Linked DNA regions of Caenorhabditis elegans. The protein of the gene in region 1 purifies or fractionates together with the protein of each later gene. This does not show direct contact. Each region holds a gene or a part of one and is shown in the gene's direction. Other genes may lie near its edges. The genes, in order: ndua-7, F29B9.11, atp-4 and R04F11.2.

Evidence for each region.
Region 2: the proteins of ndua-7 (region 1) and F29B9.11 fractionate together in Caenorhabditis elegans (co-fractionation; one large-scale study listed by BioGRID). This does not show direct contact.
Region 3: the proteins of ndua-7 (region 1) and atp-4 fractionate together in Caenorhabditis elegans (co-fractionation; one large-scale study listed by BioGRID). This does not show direct contact.
Region 4: the proteins of ndua-7 (region 1) and R04F11.2 fractionate together in Caenorhabditis elegans (co-fractionation; one large-scale study listed by BioGRID). This does not show direct contact.

The regions. Positions count from the first base shown.
Region 1 is NC_003280.10:13,492,633-13,496,117, reverse strand, and holds ndua-7 (NADH dehydrogenase [ubiquinone] 1 alpha subcomplex subunit 7), read left to right. Parts: upstream 1-1,517; 5' UTR 1,518-1,524; coding exon 1,525-1,597; intron 1,598-1,666; coding exon 1,667-1,856; intron 1,857-2,623; coding exon 2,624-2,867; 3' UTR 2,868-2,926; downstream 2,927-3,485. Other genes in the region: drr-1 (MARVEL domain-containing protein), read left to right, coding at 326-406, 459-548, 603-809, 856-1,002; F45H10.2 (Cytochrome b-c1 complex subunit 8), read left to right, coding at 3,076-3,255.
Region 2 is NC_003282.8:4,659,082-4,661,993, reverse strand, and holds F29B9.11 (Cytochrome c oxidase polypeptide VIIc), read left to right. Parts: upstream 1-1,792; 5' UTR 1,793-1,793; coding exon 1,794-1,907; intron 1,908-2,145; coding exon 2,146-2,298; 3' UTR 2,299-2,363; downstream 2,364-2,912. Other genes in the region: jmjd-1.2 (JmjC domain-containing protein), read right to left, coding at 1-188, 353-637, 684-755, 803-985; mrps-21 (Mitochondrial Ribosomal Protein, Small), read left to right, coding at 2,477-2,628, 2,682-2,871.
Region 3 is NC_003283.11:6,425,682-6,428,740, reverse strand, and holds atp-4 (ATP synthase-coupling factor 6, mitochondrial), read left to right. Parts: upstream 1-1,628; 5' UTR 1,629-1,630; coding exon 1,631-1,873; intron 1,874-2,198; coding exon 2,199-2,345; 3' UTR 2,346-2,495; downstream 2,496-3,059. Other genes in the region: alh-4 (Aldehyde dehydrogenase), read left to right, coding at 18-334, 382-511, 557-695, 786-815; T05H4.11 (DUF4706 domain-containing protein), read left to right, coding at 2,898-2,993.
Region 4 is NC_003283.11:12,316,935-12,320,751, forward strand, and holds R04F11.2 (ATP synthase F(0) complex subunit e, mitochondrial), read left to right. Parts: upstream 1-1,692; coding exon 1,693-1,807; intron 1,808-1,989; coding exon 1,990-2,129; intron 2,130-2,992; coding exon 2,993-3,061; 3' UTR 3,062-3,295; downstream 3,296-3,817. Other genes in the region: R04F11.3 (DNA polymerase delta subunit 3), read right to left, coding at 1-97, 146-246; R04F11.5 (Mitochondrial import inner membrane translocase subunit Tim29), read right to left, coding at 440-720, 766-903, 947-1,085; twk-13 (Potassium channel domain-containing protein), read right to left, coding at 3,626-3,734, 3,800-3,817.

The DNA.
Region 1 (3,485 bases):
AAAAAACCTAAATTTAAAAAAATTCAATAAAAAGTCCGCAGCAACAAAAGTTTTAAACTACAGTACTCTTTTTAAAGACGCACACACCTTTTCGCATCTAACAAAAATTTGTCGTGTCGAGACCCCGGGAACCGTATTTCTATCACCAATAATACACTACAAACTACACAATAACCCCCAAATCATGTGAACTATAATGTTTACTGATAAGATACGTGTGTGAGCACAACAACAGACAGAATCACTGTGCACGTATTATTACAGTTTTAATCGATAAAATTTCGAATTCGCTGAATTTTTTTTGCAACACAAAATTTAAAAAAAAATGCAAACTCTTGGAAACATATTCGAAAATGAGGATAACGTTTTTCTCAAACTTCCACACTATTTTAAGCCATTGCAAGCGGTATGTTTATTGATTTTTTTAATTTCCCGATGCACCATGTTCAATTTTTCAGATTAACGCTGTAATTCTGGCGGTTTGCATTGGATCGACGGCTTCCGGGGATAATGGGATTCTTTGGTTTACTCTAATTGTTCAATTAATTGTTAGTTTATCCTTTTATTAAATTTTTACCCCCATCAACCCCCTGAATTTCCAGATTTCCGCGGCGGCAACGGTAATCTTCGCCCTGCGGATTCAGGATGAGCTCATGGAGAGTATTTCGAATGGAAGCATCGCGTGGAATGTCGTGGAGCTCGTGTATTCCTTTATTTTGGCGGTCCTCTCCGTGATTTCCGTCTGGCTTTCGTTTTCGTTCGCGAATCGGTCGCTTTTCGGCACTTCTGCGGGATATATTGCTGCTGGGGTGGGTTTTAAGGGGGATTTTTAGGCAATATATATGTTAATTTCAGGTTTTCTTCATCGTACAAACAATTTTCTACGCTGTCCCATGTACTGTAATCTATCGTGAGGTACAGACAACTTCGGATACCGAACGTCAGAATATTGTGATCGAACCAGCACATCCATTCCGTTCTAATGCTTATCAAGACTTGTGATTTTGTAGATTTATTCATTTTTCTTTTTTGCTTATTTTCACAATAAATTATTCTTTTATTGACTCTAAAAAGCCCGACTTTCAACTATAAAATCATGTTTATTTATATAAATTAATTACCATAGGCACATTGCCCGTAAAATGTGATGCATTGTGTGCAAACACCGTGACGCGCAAATGCACCAACTGACGACCGGTCATTTATTTATTTACTTTTTAATCGCTTTCTTTTCAGATTTTATCGATTTTCCGTGATTTTTTATGGATAATTTTGTTGAAAAATCAGTTAAGCTTGTTATTAGAGTTATTTTAAGTCGAAAATCCAGATCCGAATCGATTTGAGCAAAATTTGGCTGAGAAATGCTATTTTGAAGAAAAATGGTTTTTTTTCTTCTAAATTGCTAGTTTTCTCCAGTTTTTTTCTTGGAAAAATCGAGAAAAGCTCGTTTTGTTTATAATATATATTTATTCTAAGCCAAGCTTCCCAATTTGTTTATAAAAATATAAATTTTCCAGACCGACAATGAGCGGTCGCAAAATTGCGGCGGCCACTGTTCAAAATCGCACCCAGACGCCATTCTGGAACTGGCTTAAGCGTAAGTTTTTCTTTTTCCGTTTTTTGCGCTCCAATATTAACAAATTAATGAAAATTTAGAAATTTCCAGAAAAGCTGTTGGCTTCCGACCGACTCCCCATCACCCCGCCACCAGGAATCGCCGGCCCGGACGGAAAAGCAGTCTACCAGAACCCTCTCCGCTTCCCAAACACCCAATCCGCTCGTCCTTGCTCCGCAGAGCTCCCGGCTCTTCCAGGAGGTGTTCATCACAAGCTCGCTGATAATTATTACTTGACAAGGTTCAAAAAATTCCACCCTGTGGGGAAATTGCTTTAAATCACGCCTTTGGTACCACAATGACCGAATATCATGATAAAAAAATTTAAAAGTTTTTTCTAGATTTTATATGATTTTTTGAAAATTGAAAAATTCTCAGTTTTCACCCCTAATTTCTATTTGAATTTCCGCCAATTGAACTCGTTCGTTGGAGCGCGCTTGCATTATTTTCGTTAATTTTTTAAAATTTATTTTCATTATTTCACTGATTTTCTCTATTTTTTTGGGGTTTTAATCGGAAAATGAAAGAAATAAGCAAGAAAATTCACAGTCCTTATTAAAAAGTAGCCGAAAATGCCTATTATGCGATCCGACGACGACGAGCCTGAAATTAGTATTAATCAGAGTTTTAGCCATTTTCAGTTACTTCTTAATAAAAATTTTGCATTTTTCTTGTTTATTTCTTTCATTTTCCGATTAAAAACCTTCAAAAAATAAAGAAAATCAGTGAAATAATGAAAATAAATTTTAAAAAATTAACGAAAATAATGCAAGCGCGCTCCAACGAACGAGTTCAATTGGCGGAAATTCAAATAGGAATTAGGGGGGAAAACTGAGATTTTTTCAATTTTCAAAAAATCATATAAAATCCAGAAAAATTTTTAAAATTTTTTTATCATGATATTCGGTCATTGTGGCCCCATAGGCATGTTTTAAAGCAATTTCCCCACAGGGAGTAGTCCATTAAAAATTTAAATTCTCTCAAAAAATCATCAAATTTTTTTTGCAGAGACGGCCGCCGAAACGTCGATGCTCCGAAAGTGCTCTACTCGTCTGGCGAGTTTGTTGGAGGAGAAAAAGCACAGCCAGCGCAAGTGAATCAAGGAGTCGCCACAAACTTCGGATTGACAGCTCCAACCCCTGGTTTTGGAGCCGAATGGAGCCGATCCAAGCAGAATGAGCTGGCCAGCCAGCAGAAGAACACCGAATTCGAGTATTTGCAGCGTTTCGACAAGTTCACGAAGAGCGCCTAAGCGTTTTTTTTTTGTAAATTAATTTTAGTGGTTCAGAATGTGACAGAAATGAAGCTTTTTTCTCGCGGTTTTTAGGGGTTTCCCTGCATTTTTTCCCTTTTTCCTGGTTTTTGTAGCCTTGAAATATCGATTTTCTTTGTTATTTTACCATTTTTATTATTCTAATTTATCAATTAAATTTTCCAAATACTTCCACTTCCAGACAACAATGAGACCGACCGTCGTTTCAATGGGCAAACACTTTGGAAATCTCGGCAAGATGTACGGAGAGCACCGCTTCGCGCTTGCTCCAAACGAGCAAAAGGCCTACAAGGGATTCTTCGATCAGGCCTTTGTTAAGACCTTCAAGACCTACGTCTGGGATCAGTGGTATTACTACATTCCACAGGTAGCCTTGGAAAATTGGAGAGAAAAAAAATTCCGGTTTTCAATGATTTTTAAGCTGAATTTCGTGATTTTTAGCGAAAAAAATCAGAAATTTTGTGAATTTGAGCACCGTTTCACACAAAAAAACCGGTCTTGCAAGCCTGCGGCACAGTTTAATGAGTGTCGATTTACGAGGGGTTTTGTACTACACGTGGACAAGTTGGAATTTGTTTTTTCCACCTGGATTTGAAG
Region 2 (2,912 bases), on another chromosome or scaffold:
ATTAGATCATCTTCATGAGTAAATTTTCCGCATCCTCCACATCGATCCGATTCCTTTGGAGTTTTCTGCTCTGGGACATCATCTTCTTCACTGTCCGAGTCCACCTCAAGCTTCAATTCTTCTTGAACTTCTTTCTTTTTTGTTTTCATTTCGTCGAAATTCGAAATTGAAACGAAACGGAATGGAGGCTGGAATAAAATTTGATGATATTTATCAATTAATTTTTTTTCTTCATTTAAAAGTTCAGTATGATATTGCCACGGGAAATTTGAATTTTTTCAAAAATTTATAAATTTATAAATAAATTTTTTTTGAATGAAAATAATCTTCCACATTTCAGAATAAACCATACCTCAGATCCGTTGCTGACGTAGTTCTGATTTGACTCCATCTTCGGCGCTTCCGCTTCCATCTTGTTGCTCATTGCAGCCTGATTATCCGATGAATCTGTCACATGTGGCTCGATTTTAGGCTCGCTCTTCGGATTGTGCTGCTTTCTCCTCGGATCTTTTGGAGCGCCCATCTTGTTGTAAGCTCTCGCCTGGAAAATTACGTTGAGAAATGGAGGAAGTTCAGTGAAATCGGAGGTTACACTCACTTTCATGAGCACTGATTCTATCGCAAAATCAACCGAATTCTGAGATGAGACTTTTTTTAAAATTTTAAATGAATAAAACACTTACTCTATCCATTTCGGAAACCGATTCATGGGAATTGCCATTCAAATGATTTTGAGGAGCTGCGACGCTTGCTTCCTGTAATCAATATCATTGAATAATCGCAGAAAAATAAAAAATCGTACAGAAACTAATGGCGTTTGATGCTCAGTAGAGGAAAGAGCCGGTTGAGAGGCTGTGTATGACATTCCTGGCTCGCCGATTGCCGATTCGTGATTCTTATGGTCGGAATGCTGATCCATCATTAGAAGTGCTGATTGGTCTCGAGAAAACTCGTTTTTTTGTATATTTATATCATTACCATCCATTTGGAATGTGTAGATTCTGGAAAACAACGATTTTTAACGGAAAACTCGAAAACTTCAACGAATAGTCGATTGAAAGGGAAACAACGGACAAAATAACATGAAAATAGCTTCGAAATGTTTAAATTTATTTCTGTTACAACATTTTTCAATAAAAAACTCCAGAAAAATGATGGAAAACTGAAATATATGCTGAAAAAACTGTAAGCCTCGAGGAGATGTGAAGAAGAAGAGAAACGAGACGCAGCATGCGAAACAAGAGACACTGCGAAACGGGGGAACGTGAGTCGCGATGAAATTTACGAGTTTGTGGGATTAAATACTAATTAGTAGATAAACTTTAAGATGAAAATATCAATATTGATTAGTTGAATTGATTGCAATTCTGAATACAAAAAATTTTTAACGAGAAAATCAATTTCTGCCTGTCCACTTCCGGGTTTTGGTGTCTCGCATTCACCGTTCACTCGCTTCGCAGTGTCTCCGTCTTTCTCACCTTCCGTATTCTCACACTTGGCACGTAGCCAAGCGGCTGGTCTCGCAACGATTGTTTTTGTTTTCCGTCAGCCGTCTCTGCGCCTTTAACCTCTCACAGCCTGCCGATTATTTTTTAAGCAGATTTTTACTATTTTTCAGCTTTCAAGCTTCATCCATTAGCAAAATCAAATAATTTTTTGATTCATTGTGTAGAATTAACGATTTTCGTATAGTTTCTGTTTTTATAACCGCCTGAATCGTATTCTCTGTTTCGTTTTCTATGGATTATCATGCTTGCTCAATTACTCTGTAAATTTAAACGATTTATTGCAGGATGCTGAACCGTGCTGTGCTCTCCTTGGCTAGAAGCCAACATGTCATCCGTCGCTCGCTTCACAAGGGAGTTGACTCGACCCCACCACTCCGTTTCACCTCTGTCAGCGAGAAGGTAATTTTTTATTTGCTAAATGTCTTGAACTTATCCTTGTGAGCAGTAAAACTTAAAATACCACTAGCTCACCAAAAAAAACTAAATTTCAGTTTGTACATTCGTTTGAATGGATTTGAAAAATTAATTTCTGAACTAAAAGATACAGTTTTGAAATTTGTCTCACTTTTAATTTAGCTGCTCAAAAACATATTTATCCAGATATCCATATTATTCACTATAACACCAATTTTTTCAGGTTGCCCTTTACGGACTCATCTGCGTCGCTTTCATGGCATACCCAACTTCCGTCCTCTTCAGACTTGATAGTCTTCGCCCAAGACCGGATAATGCTCTCTCCCCAGAAGTCCAAGAAGAGATTGACGCCCGTGTTGCCGCCCGCAGACAGTAGAAGTAATATTATGCCACGAGCCATTGTGTAGACTTTTGAGAACAACAATAAATCGATTCTTGTTTTCTCTTCGCTTTTTCTCAATTTTATTCGCTGTCAAATGTGGTTTATCCATCCATGAAAGATAAATGTTCGATTCGGTTTTTCATTTAGAATTTTTTTGATAATTGTTTTAAAGATGGTACGTCAATTCACCTGGAGAGGAACGATTTCTCAGCCGTTCGCGATTAAACTTTTCAAAGGAATTTGGAATTCACATCCAAGATTCGCAACTCGAACAGTAATGGTGCAGAACAATGATGTCGATGGAGCTTTCGGACTTCTTAACAGGTTTTCTTTGGAAAAATTCCCAGAACATAATTTCAAGATTGAAATAATTTCAGATTGATGGATTCAGAAGGAATGCTGAAAATCATTCGCCGCACTCAATTCTATCAGAAGCCCTACATGCAACGAAAAACACTGTCGATGGAAGCATCAACGGCGATTTTCAACGAGGACATGAACCGGAAAATGAAATTTCTCGTTCGAAAAAATCGTCCCGACAAGCATCCCGGACAAGTGACGTCCTAATTTCGATCTCAGAAAATAGTTGTTTTGAGTTTTTTGTTTTG
Region 3 (3,059 bases), on another chromosome or scaffold:
CTGAACTCTTCTTCCAGTCGCATCTCTGGGCTTCTCGATAAAACTCAAGGAGCTGTTCTTATCGGTGGAGAACGTGATCGTGCAGATCTCTACATCCCTCCAACTGTCCTTGACGTTGAGAAATCTGATCCATTCATGCATGATGAGATTTTTGGTCCAGTCCTGCCCATCATCACTGTCCAGTCTTTCTCGGAGTCGCTTGAGTACATTGCTGATGGAGAGAAGCCTCTGGCTGCTTACATTTTCACAAGAAATGAAGCTAAAGTTAAACGCCTTTTGAATGAGACTAGCAGTGGTGGTGTGACTGTTAACGATGTGTTGATGCACATTACTGGTATGCTATTTTAATTTTAAAATATCTGAATAATTTTTGAATTACAGTTGATACTCTCCCGTTCGGAGGAGTAGGTGTCTCTGGAATGGGACGTTACCGTGGAAAGTATGGATTTGACACATTCACCCATGAAAAGTCTGTGCTTCACAGAGGATTCTTCGGAGAATCTCTTTTAGCGTACGTTTTTTCCGAACCTTCGATACCTAATCGCATTAATTTCAGAGCTCGTTACCCGCCACTAAGCCAACAAAAGCTCGATCAAATGCGACGCCTCACGGGAAAACGAATCTCTCTGAATCTGATGAATGTTGCGACTCTTCCTATCGTAATGGCCTCATTCGTTTTTGGAATGCTCTTCCAGGTATGCAGAGGAAAATCAGCTCAATAGATTCTCACACAGTCAGCACCTGCTTCACTAGATTAATTCACAAATCGCAGTACAATTTTTCAGAAATGTTCTAGAAATGTACAGGATGATTAATTACTGCGAAAATACGTGATATTTAGCTTATCATATTCACATATTTTTGTTGCTTTCCAATTTGCCTCACTAACTTATGTCCAAACATCTAACAATAAACTATTCAAATCAGTTATTGTACGGATATTTCCCGTTTGTAACCTCCAAAGGCTCCTTATGTTTCGAAGGTCCTTCACATCCTTTGTTTTTATGCTTCAGCTAACTAGTACCAATTCGATAACAAATAAATACAGAAAAAATAATACTAGTTTCAGTTCATTTTCCGCTTCTCGGCATAAAATCGAGACATGCTGGTGGAGGTGGCAAACGCGAAATGGCGTACAGTAGGCTCGGTGTTTGCGGACTAGTCGTGCGGTCAATGTTCACTCTTACGTACTTTCACACCACTATTCTTCTTCCGTCTCGCCCTATTTTTTAACTTCTTTTTTTTTTCACAAATTCCTAGTCAATTTTTTCACCGGATCTTCTAATCATTCCATAAACTCTAGTCCATAACCAATTCCCGCATGAAAAGTGTCCCCAAATATTAAAAATTCGTGTAGTTTCAATTTAAAGCAATAATTTTATTAATTTTCATTCCCGATATTTTCAGAAATATGCTCGCAATCTTCATTGATCCGCCAAACGTTCATTTTCATTTTTTTTTTAAATTTTCCTCCCCTCTCTTGAGTATGTTTATTTTTGTAAATATTTTAATAAATCATTGTTTTGTGGAATTTTGCGCTTTGTTTGATTTTCCTGGTTTCCGGTGCCTTTTCTTCGATACTTATAAACATCCTTTGAACAGAAAACAATTTCTAAATTTATATTCAGGTATGTTCCGCGCAGTCCAATCAGTCCGTTCTCTTTCGACCACCGCGGCTTGCCGCCAGGACTTGATCCAGCAGACTTTCGTCACCAAGATCCGCGAAATCGCCAAGAACGCCGGTAACCTGGCTAACTCTGATCCAGCCGTTAAGAAGGCTCTCCAGGAAGAGCTCAACAGATTGGCCACCAAGTTCCAGCTCGCCAACGCCGATGTTGTTTCGAAGCTCCCAACTAACTTTGAAGCTGCTAAGGTAATATAAATGAAGACAAACAAACAAAGATTTATTTAAAAAATAAAATTAGCTAAAAAAAATTTCAGTTACAAAAGTATCGCTCGATTGAACAATTTTTAAATGAATTATCGAAGTAAATTAAAGAAACATCCTTATTTTTGTCGATTAATAACCAAAATAGTTTCAAATAATTTTTAAAAAATCAGCTTTTGTTTTTGTAAATATATTTGATAATCTGAGAACCAGAAGTAACCCGATTAATGTATATCTTATAAATTTTAGATTATTAATAGGCTGTTCCAAGTGCTGAGTTAAAAAAAAACATTAAAATGCTCGTTTCCAGGTTGACTCTGCAGTTCAATCCGCTCTTGAAGGACAAACATTGGCTTCGCTTCTTGAAGGAGTCAAGAAGGACCACTCTGAATATGTTGCCTCCCGTGATGCCAAGAAAGCCGAACAAGCCGCCCGTAATGCTGCCCTCAAGCAATAAATTTAAGCTCTCGATTTTGAATGGTGTATTGTTTCTTTTTGTAATAGATCGTCTATAGACCGAATGAACGTTTTTGTTCCTTAATTTTTGAAATTTCTCTCTGTTCTTTTGTAAACTTTGTTGTTTTAGTCACGAAGCTTATTTTTATTATTCTCATTCAAAATTTTTCGATAAAGTGGCTTGTTATCAGCCATTTTAAACTCGTTCAATCAAATCATGGGTTGTACAGTTGTTCTACGAGCAAACATATTCAAACTCTTCCCCAACCCGTGAATACTCTTTTGAACGGCACCCCATTGCCGATTTGGGGTGCACCATTAGGCAGACCTGTCTGTCCGCAAGCCTCCTACGTCATCACACAGACACTAACCCAGCACCATTGCGCAGACGCGACAGACGACCTTTTATTTGCTACTCATATACCACACGATTTCAAATTGCAGGTTTTCGTTCCGCCGAAATGGATTCAAAACTCTAGTCATTTCAAAATTAATAAAAGGTTTGTGTTTTTTTCTCTCACGCATTTTTAAAATTCCATTTCCAATATTTAAGATGGTCGAATTTTCAAAGGAGTCATCGACCAGAGTCTCTGTAAACTCACAACGACAAATATCGCATGTCCAGAAACGAGAGCTCACGAAGCGAAAGGTTCGTTACTGATGTAACAGATAAGATGGGAAGTAGTGTAGGCGGGATTCTAATGGAAGACTGGAA
Region 4 (3,817 bases), on another chromosome or scaffold:
AGGAAGGAAGGTAAATTCAGACGAATCAACAGCTCCACTGATTTCATAAAGTGCCCATAGCGGATCCCCTTTTGATTTCACATAATCTTCAAGGATGCTGAAAATTGATAAATTCATTTAAAAACGTGTACAGTATCATACATACCTTGTGGCTTCTGACCTTGGTAGTGATGTCTGCTTTATGAAATTTGTGAGTGTCAGAGGGTCGCACACATCATCGAGTATTGAGGTGAAATTCTCCACCATCTACAAAATGAAATGAATATATTCAACGAATGAGGAAAACAAATATTTAGAAGGTTTGTGAACCAAATAAGTTTCAAAGAAAACGATATTTCAGAGAGAACAATAAACATTTTTATTTTGAAACAAAAAAAACAAGAGTACCAGTATCACATAAAACTACTTGATCTAGTAAAACCCTAAACAAAAATGAACACTAATTTTTGTCGCCATCAGGCAGCAAATCAATCTCGTCAGTATTAACATCATAATCAACAAATGCTGTTTCCATACGATGCCATCTACCGAGAGCTCCAATGTCAACAATGTTCCTCCACAACTCTGTCCATGGCCAATCTTTTAGATTTGAATCTTGTGAAGAATATATTCTAAGTTTATCGTTGTAATCGCTAGCAACCAAGAGCGAAAAGAACCAGAGATTGTAATAATGCAATCGATTTTGGCTGATGAGAAAGTCGCGAGCAGTTAATTCTTTAGCTGAAAATAGCCATTACTTCATAGCATTTAGAATGTGGAACATACTTGTAGCCGGATTATGCTCAGAATTCGGGACCAAAACTAACTTTTGTCGTCTCTCGCATAAATAATCATACATTTCCAGCTCTGTTGGATTTGTCTGATATGCATAGGTTAAAAAACCGAGCCCAGAGAAAACAACTCCTGAAATTGATCAATAAGAATGATAGGTAGAGAGGTGTCATACCAGCTTTAACAGGTCTATCTTTACATCCTTGGACAGTTTCCCTAGCTACAGTAGCATAATCATTTCCCATTCGTTTAAAATATTCTTTGATGCTGATTCCGGTCCGCTGGAAAAAGCCTTTCACTGAAGCAGCAGCCATCTGAAATGAATAATTGTTAACGAAACAACTGAATAAAAAAAGATAACGAAACGAAAACGTTTAAAATAACTTTTAAAAGACAAACGTATGCAAATTAACAGCATAACGAATAGGTAAAACGGCTTTTTGAAGAACTCGGAAAAAATAAAGGCAATATTCGAGATTTTTGATTCTTGACAGAATAAGTAAGTAGTCAAAAGAAGAAATGCAATGTAAAATACTTTTGCAAACATTTTTGAACGCAAAATAATTTTTTTTTGAAAAAAAAATCTAACTGCCAAACGACACTCCGAAATAACGCAGGTCTCGCTTCGATGAGGGGGTACGGTGACACTCGTTTCAGCTGTAGCATTTTCTTTCTTTTCGCGCGGTGCTGTGGTAATATCAATATTTTTCCTGTTTTTAGTGAGTTTCTGTTGATTTTGATAATTTTTTTCAAACAAGTTTATCCAGCTTACAAACCCGAAAACGTGATCAATAAATTTCTCTTACCCACATACGGGGAACGTTATTTGGTTTACTTGAAGTTCTTTACATTCGCTTTGTATATTTTCTCACAAATTTATTAATTCTTTTTGAATATTTTTCACTTATTATCATTTTTCAGATGTCGGCCCCACTCAAACATCCGAACGCTGTGGTTCTCCAGCCACCAACGGTCACCATCTCCCCACTTATCCGTTTCGGACGTTATGCGGCGCTCTCCCTTGGAGTTGTCTATGGTAAGTCGTTTCAAACATTTTTCATACGTGACTTTTGAAAACAGTGACTGTTAATACAGATTGAATTTATCTTTTTTCAAGAGTTCTACTGTCCTCCTACAATTTTACAATTAAAAAAAGCAGTATTCCAAGATAATTACAGTTTCCGTAAACCTTCTTCAGAAGATAAAAATTATTTTCAGGATTTTTCCGTCTTCGCCAGATTCGCGAGTACCACGCCGATATTCGTGAGTGGGATCACGAAAAGGCTGTTGCCGCTGCAGAGGAAGCCGCCAAGAAGAAGAAGTGGCTTGCCAAGGACGAGATGAGATACCTCATGCAGGTAAGATATTTCTATCAAAAAATGAATACATGAAAATTATCTGAATGTAATTTTGGGAGAAACGATTGAAACTATCTCGGAATTTTTTTTTCTTTTCTGGTAAATCCCCTAATTTTGTTAGCGATGTTACCGTTACTATTTTATGTCTAAAAAAATTTGGTTCAGGAAACTCAGAAACAAGCTTTGTGAAAATAGAGCGATATTTTTTGAAACTTAAAATGTTTAAAATTTATTTATCGGAAAATATGGCTTCTAGTAGCTTCACTTTAAACTAATGCTTATTATTTTGTCGAATTAGTCTCTGGAAATGATTAGACTCACATGCTCTCCATTATTAAAAAACAAAACTCTAATGCTTTTTTTTTTGTAAAAACAGATTATTGGAAATCAATGCAAATTTTTTCAATATAATTTTTGTGAATCTTAAATTTGAGTTTTGCCCGACCAAAATTTTTGAAAATTCGCTGTGAAATTTTACGGTGGTTTTTCAATTCTTATTATGGAAAATGCATCACTGTCGGAAGTTATCTTTTACAGCAACAAAATATTAATACCAAGAGAATATTTTTAAAACCCTAAAAATATTAGGTTGATATAATGTCTCCAGTGAGATAGTTTAGAAATGTAATTATTTGCAGTACTAGTCGGAAAATGTTGAAATTATTGAACACAGCTTCTGAAAAAAGTTTATTCTTGAAAACGATGTGGTACACGATCAATTTTTTTGGCATAGAAACACTTTGACGACGTTGGCAGAAATTATTTTAAGATTGCGTTGCTATTTTTGTTATGTATTAATTTATGCAATATTAAAAAAGCGATGTTTGCGAAGAGTAAAACTTTTATCGCTGTTTTCATTTCAGGTTGTCAACATTCCTTTCGAAGAGGGAGTCAAGCAATTCGGAGTTGCCGATCTCTACAAGGAGGATTAAGACGACGGTCACGAAGACACACTATCAGACCCAGGAGAATTATCCCTTTTTCTTTTATTAGTTCAATGAATACCTCTCCGAAACAGAGACATTTCTTCTATATTTGGTAGTGTGTGTTTAATTGTATTCTTCTTTTAAATTTTAAAGTTTCTCGTTTTGTTTAAAGTAGCTGCAAATTTCAGTAAATTACAAATTTTATTTTTTTGAAAAAATCGAATACATAAGATGAGCCTGACTCGAAGTCATCGAAAAAATCACATTTGGAAAGAAGTCAAGGGGTTGGTCAATTTGAAAAGACGGGGTTGATAAAAAACTGTTGAAATTTTATTTTTAATGTAAAAAACCTAAAATAAATAAATAATTTAGGATAAGAAAAACGAGGATATGTAAGAGGAATCTGAAGAATTTCGATTCTAAGTTCGATAATTTTGTGGGAAGTTGTTCAAGGCTTTATGGAAACTGGGGAAAGCATGATGGGAAACAGTAAAAAAACATAATCCTAGAAACTGGATGTTAGGTTGAAAGACTCCATGGATTAAGAGAACTATAAAATGACCAGTAATATTAATTGTCGATGTCAGCAATAGGTTCTTCCGGTTGAAGTTGTTTACAGTACTGGAAAAGAATCTTCTGATAATATTCTCGAGGTGTCAATGTTCGAGCGGTGGAGCATCTGAAAGTTGAGAGATTGTGGATGGATTCAAAATATACTAAATTGTAAAAAAGAACAGTACTAACCTGCTAGTATTCAAATCA